Astyanax mexicanus: one gene and its partner. The protein of the gene in region 2 interacts with the protein of the main gene of each other region in a biochemical or structural test. Links are inferred from orthologs where the notes say so. Each region holds a gene or a part of one and is shown on either strand. Other genes may lie near its edges. The genes, in order: tax1bp3 and arhgef16.

What was found.
Region 1: the proteins of arhgef16 (region 2) and tax1bp3 form a complex in vitro, tested with the Homo sapiens proteins (2 studies listed by BioGRID and IntAct, with this or other methods). The link is inferred for Astyanax mexicanus from reciprocal best matches to the Homo sapiens genes ARHGEF16 and TAX1BP3.

Annotation. Positions count from the first base shown.
Region 1 is NC_064423.1:19,202,617-19,210,147, forward strand, and holds tax1bp3 (tax1-binding protein 3), read right to left. Parts: upstream 3,265-7,531; 5' UTR 3,140-3,264; coding exon 3,101-3,139; intron 2,141-3,100; coding exon 2,021-2,140; intron 1,707-2,020; coding exon 1,629-1,706; intron 1,040-1,628; coding exon 899-1,039; 3' UTR 203-898; downstream 1-202. Other genes in the region: nr2f6b (nuclear receptor subfamily 2 group F member 6b), read right to left, coding at 7,181-7,455. UniProt on the Homo sapiens protein: May regulate a number of protein-protein interactions by competing for PDZ domain binding sites. Binds CTNNB1 and may thereby act as an inhibitor of the Wnt signaling pathway. Competes with LIN7A for KCNJ4 binding, and thereby promotes KCNJ4 internalization.
Region 2 is NC_064419.1:18,038,856-18,046,307, reverse strand, and holds the start of arhgef16 (rho guanine nucleotide exchange factor 16), read left to right. Parts: upstream 1-4,121; 5' UTR 4,122-4,300; intron 4,301-7,408; 5' UTR 7,409-7,452. Other genes in the region: espn (espin), read left to right, coding at 1-34. UniProt on the Homo sapiens protein: Guanyl-nucleotide exchange factor of the RHOG GTPase stimulating the exchange of RHOG-associated GDP for GTP. May play a role in chemotactic cell migration by mediating the activation of RAC1 by EPHA2.

The DNA of each region.
Region 1 (7,531 bases), on a different chromosome or scaffold from region 2:
GCCCATGAAGATGCTGCAGTGCTAAAAGCCTGGCAGAGGCCAAAATTAGACCCATGACAGCAAACTCTAGGATTTTTTTCTCTACACTTTCTGGTGGTCCCTTAATTTCTGACTTCTGACCATTAAACAATAACAATGATTCAGTATATGATTAACTACAATAAATTAATGTTTATAGGTACCTAGGTAACACATAACAGGCTACTAATGATTTTTTTATTGGAAAAAATAGCTATATTTTTACACAGCCACATGCCAAAATCTATCAAAGACAGTGTAGAAAATCATTGGAATACAGTGTTGATATTTTGTGTCACAAAAAAAAAAACTTTTATGATCTTCTGCTATAGAGAAACAATCATGTTAATTTGGCAGCAATAATTAGGAATTAACAAACAAAACAAGTAGTATATGCATAAGAAAATAAGCATTGTATAAAAATGATAAAGGAAAGAAATTAGTGGTCTTTATGTAGAATTGATACACATGTTCCTTGGCATTACTCAACATCAATCTAAGAAGGAAAAAAAAAGCAAAACAAAAGGCAATGACTGATAAGTGTTTTTAAGTGTAGCTGCATATAGTTCTTGCAAACAATGAATGAATAGGACATCATTTACATATTGACAATCATCTGTACTCACACTGTCACTGTAACACTGCTGCTATATGTAGTAGTTGTTTAGCATTAGTGTTGAACACACAGAACTATTTTTGAAAACATTGAAAATTCACCCCTATGGGGTGTAAAAAATCACCCCAAATCAAATACTCAGTCTGTCTTTGAGATGATGGCTCACTGTTGTTCTTTGGCATTTGGTTGGATTACAGTATATAAAAAAGGACATTCTGTAGTGTGATTATCAAATGACATTCAATGGAGTGTTAGAGATTGCTATTAGTGTGGCATCATGGACTGTCTAACCGCATCCTGCAGAGATTTTCTGGTCACCAGTAGCCTGACTACATCTTCATTCTTTTTTGTTAGCCTTTTACGCGCTTGGTCATGAGTCACCATGGTCATGTCCCAGCCGTTTACCTGTTATAATAAAAAAACATACTGATGATTCAAGAAATTATATTCAGCAATAAGATAACACTATATATAATCACTTAAACATTTCTGTAACAAGAATGTTACAGTTAAAACGTTGTGTGCTATAATGAACAAACAGGTTCTCAACTTTCCAAGTACCATAAACCTTTATAATGTGAACGAATCTTGTCCTTTAAATCATACTGCATCTGAATGTGTGTAGCATTGCAGAAATCAAAGACTATTTCCTTAATGAGGCCAAACTGAATGAGCAAAAACTGACCATATCTAAAAATTCTGCATGCAAGAGCTACTGAATCAACAAAACATAGATAATTTTGTTTAAGAGCTTCAAGTCAAAACGGAAACACAAACAGTAGGTTAATAGCAGCCTCTGGTGGTCAAACTGATCTGAAATAAAAACCACTTTACAGAGCAAAAATAAAACTACTCTTTACCTGTTTTTAAGAGAACATATTTTTCCATGTTAGTATTGTATTTGTAAGAACAAGCCATACCCTAAACATGTGGTGCTAAAATGTCACTGATTATTCAACATTAGTCAACATAAGACATTATTCAGTTGCCCAACCTGCATTATTTTATCTCCCATCATGAGGCCTGCGACCTCTGCTGGACCTCCCTTTGACACCCTTGTGACATAGATGCCCTAAAAAAGCAGAAAATAATATACTTAAACCAAAATAAATTACAATACTTTTAAGTTGTACAACAGTGGTCACCAACCCTGTTCCTGGAGATCTTCAGAGAACTGTCTAATCCTAAATGACCCCATCTGATTCACCATCAGTTAGCTGAATTGACTTTTTTAGAGAAGGAGGGGGTGACCACTTTCAAGGATTTACATACCACTCAGTATATAAGCATTACATTGTATGTCAACTTTATAGAAGAAAAGAGAACAACAGCATGGAAATATATGGGTTTTTTTGCATGACAGCTATAATATCTGAGACGCCTCACCTTGTCTGTCTTGTCTTCTGAGAATGGATTTTGACCTGGGTCTTGATCAATTCCCCCTCCAATGCTAAAACCCAATATTAAATTATCACCGTCTCGTAGTTTTTGAATCTCTATCCTTTGCTGAAACACAAAAGAGGGGTAAAAAAAAAAAAGTTACAGCTTATCTCCAGCACAGTGAAACCAACAACATTAATACCACTCTGCTTGTCCTTATATGGCTATACAGTACTAGCTACCTGTAAGAAATTTACTTAAGCCACACCTAGGCATTACCTGTAATGATGTAATGCTGTACTTATGTTTTAATAAAATGTTTAATTGACTATTAATCCATGGTTTAGCTTCATTGTAAATCTTTATAATTTGTTTTATTCACTAGAAGCGTACGTTTGTCTTTTATTTCATACAAAAAAAAAAAACAGTTCTGGTTCACAGACAGACTCAGCTGTCTATGCATAGCAACTACAGCAAATGCTGATGGATGAAGTGGCTAGCTGTATGTTAGCTAACCTATTCTAGCTAGGCAGCTAACCGAGGCAGTTATTTGATTTATTGCAGGCTAGCTAACTTTTTAACTAAATGAACAACCAGAAACACGTCTCTAATAATATTGAGAGCTTCGTAAAAAAGTACCCACACAGTGAACTAACTCTGAGTAATGTTTGTTAGCTAAACTAGCTACCCGGAACTCTTGTAACACAGAGCGAGCTAATGCTAATGCTGGCTAGGCGGCTAACGTTATTACACGGGGGTACGTTATTTAGCATAGCCAGCGTTAGGTTAGCTTCACTGCAAAGCAACCAAAGTACGTTAACTTTAAATTCCGTAAACGTACGCATTTCCTAATTCACATACAGCAACTACATGATGGTCGTTTACAAAACACGACAAACTGCGCGTTATCTTTGTTTGCAAGTTAAGCTAACTAGTTTCCTTAGTCCAAGGAAAGTCCTCCTCTGTAGTTAGGCTAGCTAAACGCTACAGTAGAGGCGAATGAACAGAGGTGGGCTAGACATTTAACTACCCTATCTGTATCTGAAACCCGGAAACTTTCTCTAGTTTATAATCAAAAGAACTCACCACTACAGCTGTGACAGGCTGTCCCGGTATGAAAGACATATTAAAATGAATGACAGAAGATTTCCTTTCCCTCAACGAGCGAACAATGAACTCTTCTCAGGTTTTTTAGGACCGATGGTCTGCGGTTACACCCATGAATGACAACATGCAGATGACATGCTGGGGGCAGAGCCAGAAAAGGAAAGCTGGAGAAAAGGAGAACTCACTCCTCCTCCTCCTCCTCCTCCTCATTCAGCACTTTCCAAAAGGTTTGTAAAAATACCTTTAGCAAGTTTATATTTAAAATCTGTAATGTTGCATCTGTTTGATTACATCTCTGTGATTATCGCTGTGGCAAAGCACTGGCAAACATTTCAGGTGTTCCAGAAGCATCCAGACGTATAACAGTTATATACAGCTTTGGAAAAAATAAGAGATCACTTAAAAGTTATGAGTTTCTTTGATTTTGCCAAAATGAATCTATGAAATATGATCAAGAGGAAAATGGATGATCACAAGCCATTAAACCAAGCTGAACTGCTTGATTTTTTGCACCAGGAGTGGCATAAAGTTATCCAAAAGCAGTGTGTAAGACTAAAATCTCTGAATCGTTTTGTTATTTCAGCCCATTTTAATTTTCTGCAAATAAATGCTCTAAATGACAATATTTTTATTAGGAATTTGGAAGGAATGTTGCCCGTAGTTAAAATAGCAAAATCAGAGAAACTGATTCAGAAACTGAAGTGGTCTCTAAATATTTTCCAGAGCTGTACATGGGGGGTTTAGTTTGCTGGTACATTGCCTTAAAAGTTTGAGAACTACTGTATTAATTCATCAATGGGTAGAACTGAAGAGAGTGGCCTGTGCGCTGCACAATTGACCCTCCGTTATATTGCTAATCTGGAAACTCAGCTCTTCAGATTTATAAGCTTAACAGCCACGGTGCTCTTTCATTGTTGGGAAGACAAAGCCCCCCTCACACAATCAAGTAAATAAATGCTCAGTACAACAATGGAAGGGCAAAAAGTGACCACACCGCGACCCCAGCTGGTGATGTTTAGCATCACACTATGTTTTAAAGGCCGTGGTAGTGCGACAAATCTTATCAGAGTAATATATAGATCTCATTGCATTTATTTTTTTTGTTCAGAAGTGTTTTGGATTATAATATTGCAGCCACGCCTAGATTTTCTGCAGGAACCTTTTGAAGTTGGAGAAAGCCCTTAAATAATATATATAAATGTTTTTTTTAGAAGGAACTTGTTATCTTAAGGTTCATCAAAGCACCTTAAGGGGTTCCTCCACAGTTTGTAATTGAAAAACCTTAACGAACGTTTAACAGTATGGCTGTAAGAGGAGGCGACGATGTAAATGGTTCTGCTTCTCTGGCATAAATACAGCTCTGGAAAATCTTGCCTTGCCTATAAACTATAGACAACATTTTCTCAAATTCCAACTAAAATATTTTCATTTAGAGCATTTATTTGCAGGAAATGAAAAATGGCTTAAAACTTAAAAACGATGCAAAGGTTTCAGACCTTAAATAATGCCAAGAAAACTTTATGAAGATCATATACTATTTATATAAAGTTTAGAAATCAATATTTGCCTAAAATAACCCGTTTTTTAATCACAGTTTCATGCATCTTGGCATGTTCTCCTCCACCAGTTTTACACACTGCTTTTGGATAACTTTACGCCACTCTTGGTGCCTGGTGCAAACATTTCATCTTCTTCTTGATTATATTCCAGAGGTTTTCAATTTGGTAAAATCAAGGAAACCCATCATTTTTAAATGGTCTCTCTTAAACATATCAATATGAAATTTAGTGATTTCGGTCTGTAGCTGCTCTGAACAAAAGACCTAAAGACACTGAAAGACTATGTATAGCAGGGCCTATATGCGGTTTGTCCAAACACGTGGCCAGCAGGGGGCACAGGGGTATCGCACTTTGGCCTTTCTTTGTGTTTACTGGCCAGCTGCATGATTTTCAGGTCCATGCAGATCCCTGTAGCTGACGAACCACTTTATAGCATTATATTTTACATTTTACCAACTACTACAGCAATTTACACATTTGTGGAAAAACGACTGATTCTGCTGTTCATTGATTTCAGTGATTATTCTGGCACCACTTCACCAACTTCTGTATGCATCTGTTCAGAGAATGGCTTCAGTTTGCACTGCCCTTGTTCTCTAGGGTTTCAGAGCTCCATGTCAGAAATGAGCCAGCAACCATGTGGCTATGTCCAAATCTTTGTGAGAAAAAAATCGAATAAATATATACAGAGATAAGCGCCCCCATACTTAACTGTTAACAGTTCCCAACTGTTAACAATTAAAGGCCTTAGGTTCAAATTATGTCTGCATTTCACTAGACATTGACAATATACTATGGATTTCAGCCGAGCAAAAATTAACAAGTTAAATCATGGCTCATCACATCTCTTTGGTTATTTCATTACACTGCAAAGGGTGATTTCACTGAAAAACAATTCTAGAACAATTCAATTCTTTGATTTTGACATCTTTGCCCATGGCACCATAGCAGTAGATATGTATAACTTGCAAATAAATTGTGAAAACAGTATTAACTCTAAAAATAAATAAAGAATACATTAGTGAAGCGCTGAGTTCATACAACTACATGAACCTCTACTGATTATCTATCTATATATCTTATCTATATTACATTACTTCTACCACCTACATAATATTAAGTAGGTCCCCCTTGTCCCAACACAATCAATCTGACCATTCACGGCATGGACTCCTTGTTCTGGTCCTAAGTTATGAGGTCAGACCTCACATCACCAGAACATACCTGCCTGATGTTTGATGATTTTCTGATCCAGTCATCTAGCCATCAGAATTTGGCTCTTGTCAGAGTGACTCACATTTTCATGTTTGCCGATTTCCTGTTTTAAACACATAATTTCAAGAACTTTGTGCCCAATATATCCATTCCATGACATATGCCACTGTAGATGAAGATGATCAATGAAGATGTTCACCTGTCAGTTGAGCTAATGTTTTGGCTATGTTATTGTATATTTAAATATGTATACTAAAGCGTTCCTCATCGAGTCAGTATCACTTTCATGAATGAAATGACGGCCTCTATTGACAAATGATGCTTCTTGGAATAAGCCTCAAGAAATGTTTAGGGAGATTCATGTTAAACACTCATTTTGTATCTACCTTACTAGTACTTATAATTGCTTACACAAAAAAATGTATGACCCAAACTGTGACTTTTTCCCCTTTTTGTGTAAGATCACAAATGCCATCAACATCATCATCAAATCAAAAAAAAAGTTGTAGCCCAGCCAAAGATCCTCCACAGTGGAGTTTTTGAATGAATATTCTGTCTTTATTATTAGTATGCAAAAATATTGGATATTTTTCATGATTGACAGTATGAAATGTTTGTTTTTTGGACCCAATTATTTAGAGTACACAGAACTATTCCAAAACAATGTGATCATCACAACACATTAATTAACTGATTTTTCAAGTAAGTGGTCAGGCTTCCCAATTTTTTTTTGACATAGCATTGCAGTCCATGACAAAACCTTCATGAGTCTTCATCTAAACTACACTCATTATAATTCATATAGTAATTATTTATAGGGTACCAAGAAATCTCCCGTAATATCTCACGTTTAAAGCTGGACCAACGTCAATCTCACAAACTTGCAGCACCAAGACGTCTCTTCAGGGCTGCCACCCCATCAGTTCATCATGGTTTCTTTTGTTAAAAATCGTGCAATACTTTGTTGATGTTTCTCGTCTGCCGCTGTGCTGATGCACATAAAACATGCCTAAAAAGTCTTGTCTGAAAGTTTTGACGTTGAAGTAAAAAACCTGAGGTATCCCAAACTTGAGTGGCTCGATTAATGCGCCTAAGGACATGTGAGAGCGTACTCACCTTTTCTCCTTCACCATGTACACTAAATGAGCAGAGAGGTGTTGCAGAATATAACACAACATGAACATTCACGCAGCGACTAAGAAATCACGCACTGAGAATCTAGAAAGCCCACACAGAACATGAAAGTCAAGAGTTTAAGTGGGTGACAAGCAGCTCGTCAACTCAATTACTGTCCGGGCACGTAGGGCCAGCTAATTGAGCTGCCTGAGAGCTGCATGTCTCGGATCAGCGTCTCGATGGGCGTCTTTCCAACCAGCCGCATGAAGAAGAGCTGAGAGATGAGGTTGGCGGGCACGGCTCTGAGCGAGGGCAGACGCAGTAGCAGGCGGCCGAAACGCTGTGGCTGGGTGGGATACTGCATGCGCTCGTATTCGGTCAGGGCCACCTGGGCTTTCTCCTGCAGACTCTCTACATGGGCCGGGTCTGTCAGTCCACACGCGTCTGTTAAGAGACACAGAGACACATACATGCAGAGTGTCAGTGGTTAATTCCTGGAGACAGCTGCCACATAGCAATA
Region 2 (7,452 bases):
CATTCTAAAAAAAGGCGACATAGCGAAACAGTAGAGCCGGTCACGCCCACAGCCGCCCCTATTCTGTTTCACACATCGCCCTCTGCTCCCGCCTCCTGTTGGACATAACCTACAAACCTCCAGCTCCATTACATGTACACACAAGAGCTCATAAAGTGGATAGCTTTGAGATGGCTTAGTAGAGTTCAGGGTAAATAATGGATTCGTAATACTTTTAAATAAGAAATCTGTTTGATTTTACAAAGGCCAAAAGCCTGTGATCTATAGCGGCCCTGTGTACATCTATAGATAACTATTTTTTTTAAGGAAAAACATCCACAGCATCCCAGCGATGATACATCAACATATCATTTCAAAAGATCTAATGCATGCTTAGCAAACGCTTCTAGCCATGCATGCTTATACAGACTGAGGTTTTCCCACATTTCTTATTTTTTCAAATCTTTTAAAGTATTTTCAGAGATAGTAATATATATTTAGAGATATTATCCTACACACATATTTTTAACCAGCCGTAACCATCATTAGGACAATTTCATGAAAGTTTAAATTAAATAACAGGGCTTTAGTATTAAGTGCTTGGACCCCAGTGATAGCTAAAGAGATATTTGATATGAAACTGCATATTAACTGCAATGATTTCGTACAAAAAAAATTAAGAGTTTTACTTACTATGTTGAAATTAAGAAAAATATAGGCAATAATTTTCATATTACATCCTGACTTCTATTAATGTACATTAATTATGAATTACACAATGTTCATCCTTTTTCTTTTCCAGTCCAGGAATTCCAGGTGCTTAGTTAATTAATGAGTGTAGTTATAATGTAGAGAAACAAGCCAAGGCCAATGTTCTTAAGAATAGAATTATTATTTAATATATACATTTTTTTTCTTCTTTTATCCTTAATGACAACATGAAATTGTTTATTCAGTCATGCAGTCGATGGTCTTATTACACTAAGTGACCATTGCCCAGAACACTAGAACAACAGGAGAGTTCTGTTATGAATGATGTTATATATTTTTAAATCAAGAATTAAATACGTTTATACCAAGTTGACAAGTATAAAAAGTGAACTTTAGTACAACATCAGTTTTACACACATGTAAAAAAAATAACTGTGGTTGTTTGTTTAACCCCACAGTCAGGTCCTATTGTTACCGTATTGGATATTATAAATCACGCAGAGAAATGCTTTCAGTACCATCATGTGGCCAAAAATATGAAACAGAATGAAAATGATGATAATCATCATGTTTTAGAACCTTTATCACTTTTTAGCTTTCCTCCTAGTGGTGAACCGTAGCTACTACACTTAGGGTACCTGGACCTTGGAAAAGTGCCGGATGTGTCTTCTGAATGTGCGTGTGTATATATGTGGTGTCCGTCCTGTGTCATGAAATGTGTGATAGGTAAACTTGACATATTTTGAGTGTATATTTTTTGAAACTGTAAAAAAAAGATATCTGAATATTATACAGCTGTATGTGTATTGCATGGTCATCGTTGAGTAATCGTTTGGAAAAATATTCCACTTAAATCCATTTGATGCCATATTAAAACCGAGATATATGTGAACATCATTGCCATTAGAAGATTTTCTATTCATGTCTAATGTATATAGTAAGCCTGAGTAACTCTTTATTGCCCTTTTGTTGTTACATTGTGCTCCAATACATTTTATTTTCTTTCTCAGCCTTTGCTTGCATTGGTTTATCAATGTACACCTTCCTTTTCAGACTGGCAGATTGAATAAAAACCGAAATTACAGCATCTGAGCTTCTGAGTTCTTGCATTTTATAGAGCTGATGTGGTGGATCATACAGAAATTCTGCTGGGATGTGGTTATACTTCTGTTTGAACAGCAGGTGGCGTAGTGGGACTACTTCCAGATCTTAATAGCGAGGCTGATCTCAGCACACAGAATAGGTATGGGCAGCACTATTGATTTTTATGACTCATTCAATATTAAATAATACAAATACCTTTATTCTTTACAGTTAAATGATCCAGTAAACATCATATTCTATCCTAATTAAACTTAAAAAAGAACTGATTGTTTTGCAGAATGGAACTACAAACTGCTGGTCCGATTAGTACCTAAAGAAAACACTTAGTTTTAATTATATATATATATATATATATATATTAATATACTCTAAAAGTTAGAATGACGATATATCGACTGATTAATATTACGACTATTACCAGACCTAACTTCTGAAGGAAAACATCTTAACATTCAATAGAAGTCAGTGTTAAAGGCCATTCCATCGAATGGGTGCCATTTGCTTGTAATTCTTCGAAATTAAACTTTTTCTCTTTTTTTTAAACTTTGAAACTGATAACTCATATTAATTATTCAAAACATGTGCTGGTCAATCTCAGGCAGTTTTACTTATTTTTTTAAAAGGTTTCTAAGCCGAAAATGTTTAAAAAAAAAAAAACTGTTAAAAGCAAGTCCACTAATTCCTTTAATTTTCTCTCAAGAAAGTATTTTAAAGAAATTGTTGACTGCATATTTAAATAATTGATATTTATGACAAAAAAAAAATAATTTACTGGGACTCATTCCTCCAAATGGAGCTCACTCCTGTTAATGGAACTGACTCCTGTTACTTTTTATATGTTTTGAGTAACAGGAATAAATTTTTATCATAGAATTAGCAAAAACATTAAAAATAGCTCAAATAAATCTGCTTTGCAAATAGCATGAGGATGCTCAACACATTCTAGTTGTTTTCACAAAATTTGTATTTTAAAAATAAACAAATAATATCTAAGAACTGATTCAGGTAACAGGAATGAGTGTTGAGATGACAAATGGGGGAACTTAATTTTGGTCTTCCTATGGTCTTTAGAAGAAGAAGCTGATGTCACTTCCTGTTGAAGATGTGACTTGTAAAATGTTTAAGATGGGATAATGTTTTACTTTAACAGGAATGAGTGAAACCCTGGCAACACAACTAAAATGTGTATTTTATTTTAAATATTATGAACTTATTATGAAAAAAATATATTTTTAAAACATAGATGGGATTTGGAGTCACAGAACAATGCAAAAAATTAATTTCTGAAGGATTTTAACAATTATATTTCATAGTAAATTTTATAGTTTATAGTGGGGACAGGTAACAAATTAAGCTATTTTTTCCAGTGTAATAAGCAGTTTTTTAAATGTTTTTAATTACATATCTTACTTTTGCAATTATGTCAATGTACAATACAGTATGCTTAATAATAAAATGTAGTTTAAAGTTATTTATAACATTTATACATGTAATTTCCTACAATGGCACCGAATTGATGGAATGGGTCTTATATAATGAATAATTCTGATTTATATCATTCTTTTATTATTCTTTATATTTCTGTGAAAAAAAATGAAAAAAAGCAAGAGGAACAGTGGTGACGGGCTTTATTTTTTTCCCCGCTAAGTTTCCTCATGAAACTATCACTGATTGTGAACATTTCACACTAGACCTCAAGCACTTTGGACTGTGTGCTTCTCCACTTTTCCTCCAGACTCTGCTCCTTTGATTTTCCAAAGTCAGTGCAGTGTTTTCCCAGAAAATCTTACAGCACTTCATGCTTCCCTCTGCTGACAACGTCTATGAAGATCTAGATTTCATTTTCCAGCAGGACTTGGCACACTACTAAAAGTACCAATTGATCTTATATGATTTTTTTGATTTCTGAGACACTGATTTTTGGGTTTTCATTTGCTGTAAGCCATAATTATCAACAATAAAATAAGTAAACACTTAAAATAGATCTCTCTGTATTTAATACATCTATATAATATGATTTTTACATTCTAAACTGCATTACTGAATAAAGTAACTTTTTAATGATAATCTTTTTTTTTTTTTTGAGATCCATTAGTATAAATGTTATATTGGACATGCAGGGAATGGAATCTAATTAATTAAATATGCTTCTGTCGTCACTGATTTATACAGAGAACAAGTTCACTGCACTGATATTTTCCCTAAAGGTTGTACATTATTATGAGTAAAGGACAGGAGACAGACATGTGAACACTCCTCTGATTATACAGTAAACGAGCTCTTGAACACAGCAGAGGACTTGCTTCACTCACCTGTGAGTGACGCACCTTCAGAAAGAGAGAGAGAGAGAGAGATTGTTAACAGGCGAGGCGGTGCAGCGATTCTGAGGAGCTAATAACTAGAAAACAACACCAAACTCACCTAAACCTGCAGAACTGAACTGAAAGCTGCAGATTTCCCGCTGAACTGCTCCTGTTCCCCGGAGCACAGCTGCGCTGCTTTAGAGGTAAGCTCGAGTTTGTGAATGTTGTGAACAGTCAGTAAAACTTGGTTTCTCAGTCTGAGTGTGTGTTTGTTAGTTTCTGAGACGGTGGGAGTGTTGGAGCAGTGGAGCAGTAGACTGAAGGAGGAAAAAGTGTCGAGGCTGACGGACAGACAGACAGTCTACCTGAGGAGAGCTGAGTGATTGAGTAATTAGCACCTTTCCTGCAAAAACAACAAACATACTGTCTAAAAGTTTGTTAAAAAACGCTATTTATGGGGATTTTTTTTTACAGGGCAACAAGTACTGATTTTAACAGGTCTGTGAGTTAGAGCTAGCTGCAGCTGTTCACCATGTATGTAGTGATTACCCTGAACATTTTAGCTAGCTTACCACGTCAGTCTACTCTATACAACACTCTATACATGTCGGCTCTGCACTATATAACTATGGCAAAAATGTAACAGAAGTATTTATATTCTGTGTGTGTGTGTGTGTGTGTGTGTCTGTGTGTGTGTGTCTGTGTGTGTGTGTGTGTGTGTGTGTGTGTGTGTGTGTGTGTGTGTGTGTGTGTTTGTCTACTGGAGGAAATAACTTCCCACATTTTTTAGGAAATGATTTTAAAATTTCCTAAAATGGGTTTGTGTTTTCAGCTGTGGAATGTTCTGGATAGCATGTTTTATTATTGGATTTTTTTTTTATTCACATGAATAATGTACTTTTCTTCCTTAACAGACAAATTTTACAAAGTAAAATACGATAATCATTAGCATGTTTCTCTTATAATAATATAGAATAATTATTATTTTATAGTTGCATAACCCGCACACTCTATTTCTGTTATGTCTACATATTGTAAGTCTAGACATTAACCCATTCAGACCTGAATTATCTCCAGTGATGGAAAAAAAATGACTGTAATATTCTACTATAAAATCTATATAGCAAATGAATCCAATTAACTAAAATATGTAACAGTTTTTTTTCTTTCCATTTAAATTGCATTGGAAAGCTTGTGTGTAATATTTTATATTTCATATTGACCTTTTTATTTCATAATTTAATTTATTTCATAAACCATCCCTAAACAGTTAAAAACATGAAACACTCCACTGTTCTAGTGGCCCGAGGTAAAATATGTTTCTGTAGTGAAAGTAGAAGTTTTCCATTTATCTTATCTTATAAAGAGATGCTTTTAAAAGAGAGTAAAAGCACATCAGCAGGTGAACGTATACAGTAGTTTAATTATATCTCGATAGGTCAGAAAAAGAGAGAAAGAGAGAGAGAGAGAACTGAAAAGAAAGAAAAGGGGGTGCCGACCCTTGTGTGACTTTTCCCCCTACCCAACCACCTATACTGCATACTTCCAAGCAGTTACACCTTTATGCAAATGATATGTAAACCATATAGGATCAAATACAATTGGATAGAATCTATCAATTTATCAAATTACTTTGTCAGCAGTGTCCAGTTAACCGCTTGTTGTCCAATGGAAATAAAAGTATGGTAACAAGACATTTTTCAACTAATATCAGGTGAAAGGACTCACTCTTGGTTCAGCAGTCTTTAATAGAATATCATTACTTATTTTAATACTGAAGGCAAACAATTTCCATGAATCAAGCAGCTGTAGATATCTTTTTGTTGACCACGCAAAGTCTTATGTTAATATTTATTTACATTTTAGTTACCAGTTATTAAATACTTGCTACACTATCACAGGATAACATAGCATAATGTGGTGAAGTAAAAAGTAAGAAATTTCCCTCCCAAAATTGAAATACTTCAGTAAAGATATGAAGAAAATACAGTACAGTGACTAATTAGATTTACTTTGTTGAAATAATACATATTGTGTCATAATGAGTATTTTTACATAATTTAAATAAACACAATATTGTTTTAATTAAAAAAAAATAAAATAAAATAAACTTCATTATTTGCCAATATAAAACTTGTTACGGAGCTCATGCTTGTTGACAGACAAAACAAAACCGAAACCTCTTGCTTTGTACACTGACTTGCTGCATGTCATAGGATAGAAACTAGTACATGTTTACAATTATTTATGCAATGTTCCATAGAATTAAAAAAAAATGCGTGTAAGGCTTCCTGCCAGAGTCTCTTGTCCCTTCGAATGGGACAAATTTAGCCAGATGCCATCTGTCCTATTCACTACCACCCATTCCTCTGTCCACTGTGAGTGGTAATGCCTTCTATTACATTTAATGTACAAATGTGACTGTGAATTGAGAAATGCTACACACTTTTTAGACCTTACTCAAACTCGTTGGCCAGTATTCTACCTCTTTTACAAGATAACACCTCACAGCTTATATAGGTGTGGGCATTCCCAGGCTTTACCCTGTGATAACACTAAATGGTTAGCAGTTTACATACTGCCTTACCTTATCCTTTGGTATTTCTTTTTTTTTTTTAGCATTTTTATGTTAATTATTACAAACAGAAAAGTGAAAGTTGAGTGAAATGTGATCATTTTTCTTTAATATTTTAAATAATAATGTTGATACATGTTCTTGAAGGCTATGAAATCTTTTGTGGTTGCATGGCTCACGGTGTGGGTTGCAGAAGCCTGGGAAAACCTGTCCCAAAACATATTTTGAATCTGTGGTGGCTGAGGTATGTGCAGAGTATTGTAAGGCAAAATTTTATCCAAGGAAAACTGATTTGCTATTATTCAACCACTTTACTTCCACCTCTGAATGCATCTGAAAAACTTAGTTTATAAATCAAGAATGTGCTAGTGCAGAAGTTTGGAAAACCATGAAAGAACTGTACCAATGAAAGATCTGTATCATAAAAGAACTGGGCAGTACACATTGATACATCTGTATAGAAGAAGCTGTAAAGTATGCAGAATTCGCAAGGCAAAGAAATGTGCCAAGTCTTTTCGTAACCCTGTAACTGCATCTGTGGCTCATGAATTCCTGAAAGTCACAGTGCAATAAAAGTGGTAGTAGAAACCCCTCCTTCTTTACTGTGTTGTTGTTATTGAAAAACAACACAGCCTTTTTTTGAATAGTTCTGAAACTAGATCTTTTGAATGCATTTAGTCGTAATTGTAATGCAAGCCAACTGCTCCACCTGACGTCCCACCCATCTCTGTCCCAGCATGCAGGTTTCAACAATGGTCCGCTGACTGGTCTGTGTGGATG